2 linked regions of the Sus scrofa genome follow. The protein of the gene in region 1 interacts with the protein of each later gene in a biochemical or structural test. Links are inferred from orthologs where the notes say so. Each region holds a gene or a part of one and is shown on either strand. Other genes may lie near its edges.

What was found.
Region 2: the proteins of EHD1 (region 1) and SNAP29 form a complex in vitro, tested with the Homo sapiens proteins (2 studies listed by BioGRID). The link is inferred for Sus scrofa from reciprocal best matches to the Homo sapiens genes EHD1 and SNAP29.

Annotation. Positions count from the first base shown.
Region 1 is NC_010444.4:7,316,241-7,319,443, forward strand, and holds part of EHD1 (EH domain-containing protein 1), read left to right. Parts: intron 1-2,676; coding exon 2,677-2,841; intron 2,842-3,203. UniProt on the Homo sapiens protein: ATP- and membrane-binding protein that controls membrane reorganization/tubulation upon ATP hydrolysis. In vitro causes vesiculation of endocytic membranes. Acts in early endocytic membrane fusion and membrane trafficking of recycling endosomes.
Region 2 is NC_010456.5:50,502,095-50,505,904, forward strand, and holds part of SNAP29 (synaptosomal-associated protein 29), read left to right. Parts: intron 1-102; coding exon 103-188; intron 189-1,645; coding exon 1,646-1,744; intron 1,745-3,810. UniProt on the Homo sapiens protein: SNAREs, soluble N-ethylmaleimide-sensitive factor-attachment protein receptors, are essential proteins for fusion of cellular membranes.

The sequences.
Region 1 (3,203 bases):
GGCACACATAAACCTCAAACAAGAAGGTACCGCTGTCCCAAGGGGCAGCCTGGAAAGTGGAGAGTGGGCGGGGGTGTCCCTCGAGGCCCTGTGAGCTCCCCGGGGTCTGCTGAGCACGGACGTGCCCTCAGCAAGCATAGGGCAGGGCGCTGGGCATGCGGTGGGGCAGGTCCCCCCCCCTCCTGGCCCTCCTCAGCTATCCGGGGGAAAGCAGAGCACAGAAAGAAAAAGAAAGCACAGCTGGGAATTCCTGTTGGGGCTCAGTGGGTTAAGAACCAGACTAGCATCCATAAGGACACAGGTTCAATCCCTGGCCTCACTTAGTGGGTTAAGGATCCGGTGTTGCTGTGAGCCGTGGTGTAGGTCACAGATGCCGCTCGGATCCTGCATTGCTATGGCTGTGGTGTAGGCTGGCAGCTGTAGCTCCGATTTGACCACTAGCCTGGGAACCTCCATATGCTGCGGGTGCGGCCCTAAAAAACAAAACAAAAAAAAAAAAAAAAGAGGAAGGAAAAGAAAAAGAAGAAAGCAGGACTTTATTTGCCTTATTTGTACTGTCTCCGGGTAGGCGTGGGTGGGATGCTGCAGAAGCCGGTGACTGGGGAGCTGTCCTGGGGGGTGGGTCGGACTGGGGGCCTGGGCGTGAGATGATGCTGAAGCCAGGACAGGAGGTAGTTGGTAGCAAGGTGGGACGCAAGCCTGCAGCACAGAGGACACTGGGTGACCTCCACCCCAGAGGCATTGTAAACCGTCCCTGCTCCTCCGTGGAGGCACAGGGCCTGCTGGCACCTGCTGACAGCATCAGAGTTGCTCAAGGGGTCGGAATCTCAGTGCCTGACCACGCTTTTTCAGTGGGACCCCGGGGAGGCTGGGAAAGGAAGATTAATGCCACGGGGGACCCATCTGACACCCGGACAGGACCTGTCCCCTGAGGACGTGTGGTTTTGAATAGTGCTGCATCCTAAACCTCTTGGGGCAGGCTCTGTCCCGGGAGAGCCGGGAGGAGCCCCATGGGCCACACTCCTGCCCCCAGGGAGCTAGCTGCCTGCCTGTGTGTAGCCCAGAGGTTGGGGACTCTGCCATAGTCCAAACAACGGTGGCCCAGGGCACCCCATGCCATCTTGAGGCCCAGGTCAAGTAGCTCTGGGTACTCCCTGGCCTGAGTAAAGAAAAGTGGCCCCAGAGTTCCCTTCGTGGCTTAGCAGTTAACGAACCTGCCTGGGATCCATAAGAATGCGGATCAAATCCCTGGCTTCAGTCAGTGGGTTAAGGATCCAGTGTTGCCGTGAGCTGTGGTGTAGGTCGAGGATGCGGTTCGGATCCGCGTTGCTGTGGCTGTGGTGTAGGCTGGCGGCTGTAGCTCCAGTTCAACCCCTGGCCTGGAAACCTCCATATGCCGCAGATTCAGCCCTAAAATAGCACCCCCCCCAAAAAAAAGAGAAGTGACCCGCATCCTTTATCCCAGTCTGTGTCCCCACCCCACTTCCCCAGAGTGCTCTTGGACCAGCAGATTGGAACTTGCTGGAAGAGTAGGTTCCCAGGCCCCCGCCCTACCAAACCAGACTCTGCATTCGGACACGGTCCCCTGGTGACCCGTATGCACGGTGAAGGTGCAGAATCCCACTCTGGAGGATGCAGGGCTGCACATTTCTCTAGATACCTCACTTCTGGAACTTTCCTGGTGAGTGGAGCTAGTTCTGAAAAAAGGAAGCCATGCGAAAATCCCCATCACCCGCTCCTGGCCGCGAAGGAGCTGAAACGGGAGGGGCGGTGAATGGAGGAGAGAGTGGGTCTCCCGGCCCGGCCTCTGCTCAGCTGCAGGGAAGGCAGCTCCCCGCCCACCCCGCCCAGCCCCTCTCCTGACAGGGCCTCCCGTGCTCTCGCTCAGCTTCCTTCCAGGACAGAATGAGGGGCAGACTTCGGGCCCCTGCTCCTTCCTCTCAGAGCTGGCGTGTCCGCGCCGGGCCCCCGGGCACACTGAGTCACGGTGCCTGGAAAGCCCCGTCCTCTCCAGTCCTGTCCTGCACCTGCTGTTTCGAGACTGTTTCCACTTCCTGGAGTGAGTCGCTCTCTCTGCTGGCCTGTGACGGGCAGAGCTATGCCTGTGTCTTTGGGACAGGATAGTGCTCGGCCAGGCTCCCAGCCCAGGCAGGTGGGGTCAGGCCGGTGGAGGGGCTTTGATGGGGCAGAGCGGCAGCTCTCCACGGCTGGACGGTGCTTGGCAAGGCGGAGGGCTTTGAGGGCCAGGCCTCGCAGGGTTGCCAGCGTTCCCGGTGCGCTGTGAGGACGGGAAGGCTGCGCCGCCCCGACTTGGCCAATGTCTGAGCAAGGTACTGAGTTTAGATAAAGCCGGAAACATCTGGGAGAAGCCTTGCGGGATTTTCCAGTCCTTAGTCACCCCTGAGCCTGTCAGGATGATAAAGCAGGGCGTCACACAGGCCGGGCTGGAGTCCCCAAACCATCCACAGGCCCGTAGAAGCAGCGCGGCGCGGCTCCGCTTGGCTTGCGGGGAGCGTGGCAGGTGCGCACGGAGAAACGGCAAGAACGTGGGCTCTGGGCTGCTGTTAGCAGTCCCGGGTTCTGGTCCCAGCTTTCTGGGGCAGCCCGGGTGCAGGCCACGCTCCCAGCAAGGTGTCCGGGAGGCGCCTGACGCACACCCCGTCCCTGTTGCCCCAGGTCCACGCCTACATCATCAGCTCCCTCAAGAAGGAGATGCCCAATGTCTTTGGCAAAGAGAGCAAGAAGAAAGAGCTGGTCAACAACCTGGGCGAGATCTACCAGAAGATCGAGCGCGAGCATCAGATCTCCCCCGGCGACTTCCCCAGCCTCCGCAAGATGCAGGTGGGCTGTCCCCCACACCCTGAGGCGGCCTCAGGTCACCGGGGCTGTGGTTCCCGAGGGAACCCGGCTCCATGGGGCGGGGCCTCCCCAAATGGAAACAGCCTGGTTAATCACCAGCGCCCCACCCGATGGGAGAAGCCGACCTCCCCCCGCCCCCCCCCGGGCCCGTGACACCTCGCAGGGGAATGTGGTGACTCACTCAGAGGGGGAGGGAGCGGGCTGGGCCGTGCCAGGCACCCCAGTCTCCTCCCAGTTAAGGAGGCTGCAAAGGGGGGGCTGTTCTTACCTCTCATTTATAGTGGGGGGCACCGAGGCCCCGGGAGGGGGCAGTTCACACCACTGCCTGAGATGCTAAGTGATCG
Region 2 (3,810 bases), on another chromosome or scaffold:
GCATTTGATTTTCTCACACAGGCACCCCAGGAAAAGACTATGCTGGCAGAGGTGGTGTTCCCTTCTAAAAGATTTCTTTCTTTTCTTGACTCTTATCCAAAGATTGAAAGAAGCCATAAGTATAAGCAAAGACCAGGAGGCACGGTTCCAGGCCAGCCACCCAAACCTCAGGAGGCTGAATGACTCAGGTCAGTGGGCTTGCTTTCCTACCTAACACTTGGGTTGGGTGGAGGGAGCACCTGCTGGGTGAGGGAGGCGGAGAGGAGGAAGTGGGAGCCTGCACTGCAGCTCTGAGCTGAGTGTGAAAGGCTGCTTGCAGGGAAACCCCTGTGGTAAGTGGAGTCATAGCCCCTAAAACATCCATACCCCAGCCCCAGGCCCTGGGAACATCAGGTCATGTAGCAAAGGGGGTTGTGGGTACAAAGGGAGCACAGTTGCCCAACTTGAGGTGAAAAGATGATCCTGGGTTTTCCAGGTGGACCCAGTAAAACCGCAAGGCTGCCCTGCACGTGCGAAGGAGGCAGTAAAGAGGGAGATTGGAAGGTGAAGGCAGGGCCCCTGGCTGAGGCGTGGCCTCCAGGAGCCATAGGAGGTGGGGGCAGATTCTCCCTGAGAATCTCTAGCCAGAGGCCAGCCCAGTGAGCCCCAGGTTGCAGCTCTGGCCTCCAGAACTGAAGGTGGTCTATGGGGGTTTGCTGTGGTGGCCCTCAAGCCCGGGCAGATGGGAGTGCAGGGTAGAATCTGTTTTGTGTCAGGTCATCCTGTCAGTATCAAATGACAAGCCCAGAACCAGCCATTATCTGGAAAGGAGTGGAGGCATCCTGGGGGCTTCTTTGGACCCCTAGAGAGCCAGGCCCATCACAAATAGCCAGGTGCCCCCTGCCATGTGATTGACACAGCCGAGGGGAGGCCTGGTGGAGGAGGCATTGGAGAGAGACAGAGCTATCTGGAAAGGCCAAAGCCACAGAGGAAGTGAGAGAACTAAAGTGCATAACACAGCCAGCTCGTTGTGCCCAAGGGAGTGGAGTAGAGCCCTGCACCGAAAGACAATTTTAAGGAACTAAAAGGAGTTTCATTTGTAGGGTGTGTATTAGCTTAAGAGAATTGGTGAAGCAAAAAAACAAAACAAAACAAAACAAAACAAAAAAAACAGGCTTGTGTAAATCGTGCTGGGGGGGAAATACAGCAAATCTAGAAAGAGATATTCCCCAGAAGATGTGAACTGGCCTGACAGGGCTTTCTTGTGTGAACTCAGGAGCTGAAGGTCAGGAGGATTCTTGGGGCAAATGTGCATCATCTGACATTCCTCTTTCCTGAGCCGTGAGGTTTTGCCTGATGCAACACCACTGCTATGTCATTACATGTGTCAATCTGTCTCTTTTCCTGTGCACCAGGGGCTGACCAGGCCCTCCAGAGGTTGGAGGTCTTTGATCTCCGAAGGGTAGGCCCCCAGGAAGCATCTCTCCCTTCCCCACAAGCCTGCCAGGGCTCCTTCCCCTCCCCCAACCCACTCCCACAGCCATCGCTCTGGCCTTAGAACTGACCATTATAGTCCTTCCACCTGTTTCCCAGACTAAGATTTTGTAAAGCAGCATTTCAAGGGATGTCAGTTAACCCATCTCCTGGTGTCTTCTTGTGAATCCAGACTGCATCCCTGGAGGGGCTGGATCTGCTGTGAGCTCTGAGGCGTATCCAAAGAACCCTCACCTCCAAGCCTATCATCAGAAAATCGACAGCAATCTGGGTAAGACGGGGCACCACCACGTTCAAGGTTCACCTGCCCGGGGCAGCGTGTGCCCAGCCCACTGGCGTCTGCCTCTGTCTCCCCTCTCAGCAAATCCAAGAGTCATGACCACTCCCCCCTGATCTCTGGAGCCTGTCCACTTGTCTTTGTCTCCACCTCTCCTCTGTCTGCTTGTCTCCGTCTCTACCTCTCTTCTGTCCACTTGTTTCCATCCCCACCTCTCATCTGCCTGCTTGCTTCAGTTCCCTGGACTCTGCCCTAGAGCCCAGGTGGAAGGGATGTCTGCGGATCTGGCCACTCCAACATGGGACGCTAGCGAGTCCACCAACCCCTAAACAAAATTTCCCCACCAGGAAAGGGTGTCATTGATGCCTGATGGGGAAATATCAGGGAGTGGAATTCAGGAATTGGGGGAGGGAGGCAGGAAGAAGGCTAAGTAGAGCCCACTGGGGGTGTGCAGGGAGTCCTCAAACCTGCAGCACTGGCCAGCACACAGTGGCCCAAAGGAGGGCTGTGTGGACCTCAGGGACCCCGGGACAGCTGTCCACAGTCTCTGCTAGCGAGGCCATACCACTACCCTGGGCACAATTCCTCTCCCTCCTGGCACACCCATCTTTGTCAGGGACCCTTGCCACATGGCCCTGCTTGTCAGGCTTTTCACCCCGGCACAGCCTCTTGCCTGTCCCAGCTGCTGGATCCTGGGGTAACCCATGGAGCTCAAGGCACAGGCTTCAGTCAAGCATAGAACTAAAGGCAGAGGCTTTAGGAAGCATAGAACTGAAGACTACCTTTTTTGAAAAAAACCTGATTCTAGAGTTTCTGTTGTGGCTCAGTGGTAACAAACCCAGCTAGTATCCATGAGGATGGCGGTTCGATCCTTGGCCTCACTTAATGGGTTAAGGATCCGGTGTTGCCGTGAGCTGCTGTGTAGTCTGCAGATTCTGCTTGGATCCAGCATTGCTGTGACTGTGGCATAGGCCAACAGCTGTAGCTCCAATTCAGCCCCTAGCCTGGGAACCTCCATGTATCACAGTTGTGGCCCTAAAAAAAATTTTTTTTGTCCTTTTAGGGCCACACATATGGCAGTCCCCAAGCTAGGGGTCCAATCGGAGGTACAGCTTCCAGCCTACACCACAGCTCAGGGCAATGCCGGATCCTTAACCCACTGAGCAAGGCCAGGGATCAAACCGCCATCCTCATGGATACTAGTTGGGTTTGTTAGCTGCTGAGCCACAATGGGAACGCCTAAAAATTTTTTTTAATTAATTTAAAAACCTGATTCTGCTTAGATTCGTAAAGCCACTGCTAGGGATTCATATATTTTGACCCTTTAAAAAAAAAAAAAAAACACACACACACACAATGTGCATAAATTCCTGGCCAGGGATTGAACCCAAACCACAGCAGTGACAATACCAGATCCTTAACCCACTGAGCCACCAGGGAACCCCATGCTTAGCTGTCTTTATGTTACTGTGCTGTGGAAGCCCTTCAAATACTCCTGAGGCTGACCACGTCCTTATAGGCATTGTTCCTTATGGACATTTTGTTGAACTTGAACTTAAGCAGTTGTCACCTGACTGTTGAACTTAAGCAGTTGAACTTAAGCAGTTGTCAGAAGAACCTTTGGGAGTTCCTATCGTGGCTCAGCAGTTAATGAACCCAATTAGCATCCATAAGGACTTGGGTTCGATCCCTGGCCTCACTCAGTGGGTTAATGATCTGGGGTTGTCGTGAGCTGTGGTGTAGGTTGCAGATGCGGCTCAGATCCCGAGTTGCTATGGCTGTGACTGTGGCTGGCGGCTACAGCTCCAATTGGACCCCTGGCTGGGGAACCTCTATAATGCCATGGATGCAGCCCTAAAAAGACAAAAAGACCAAGAAAAAAAAAAAAAAAGAACCTTTGCCAAAAGTAGTGCACTCCAGGAGTTCCTGTTGTGGCTCAGTAGTTAACGAATTACTAGGAACCATGAGGTTGTAGGTTCAATCCCTGGCCTCACTCAGTGGGTTAAGGATCCAGTATTGCTGTGAGCTGTGGTGTAGGTCACAGATGCAGTTCGGATCCC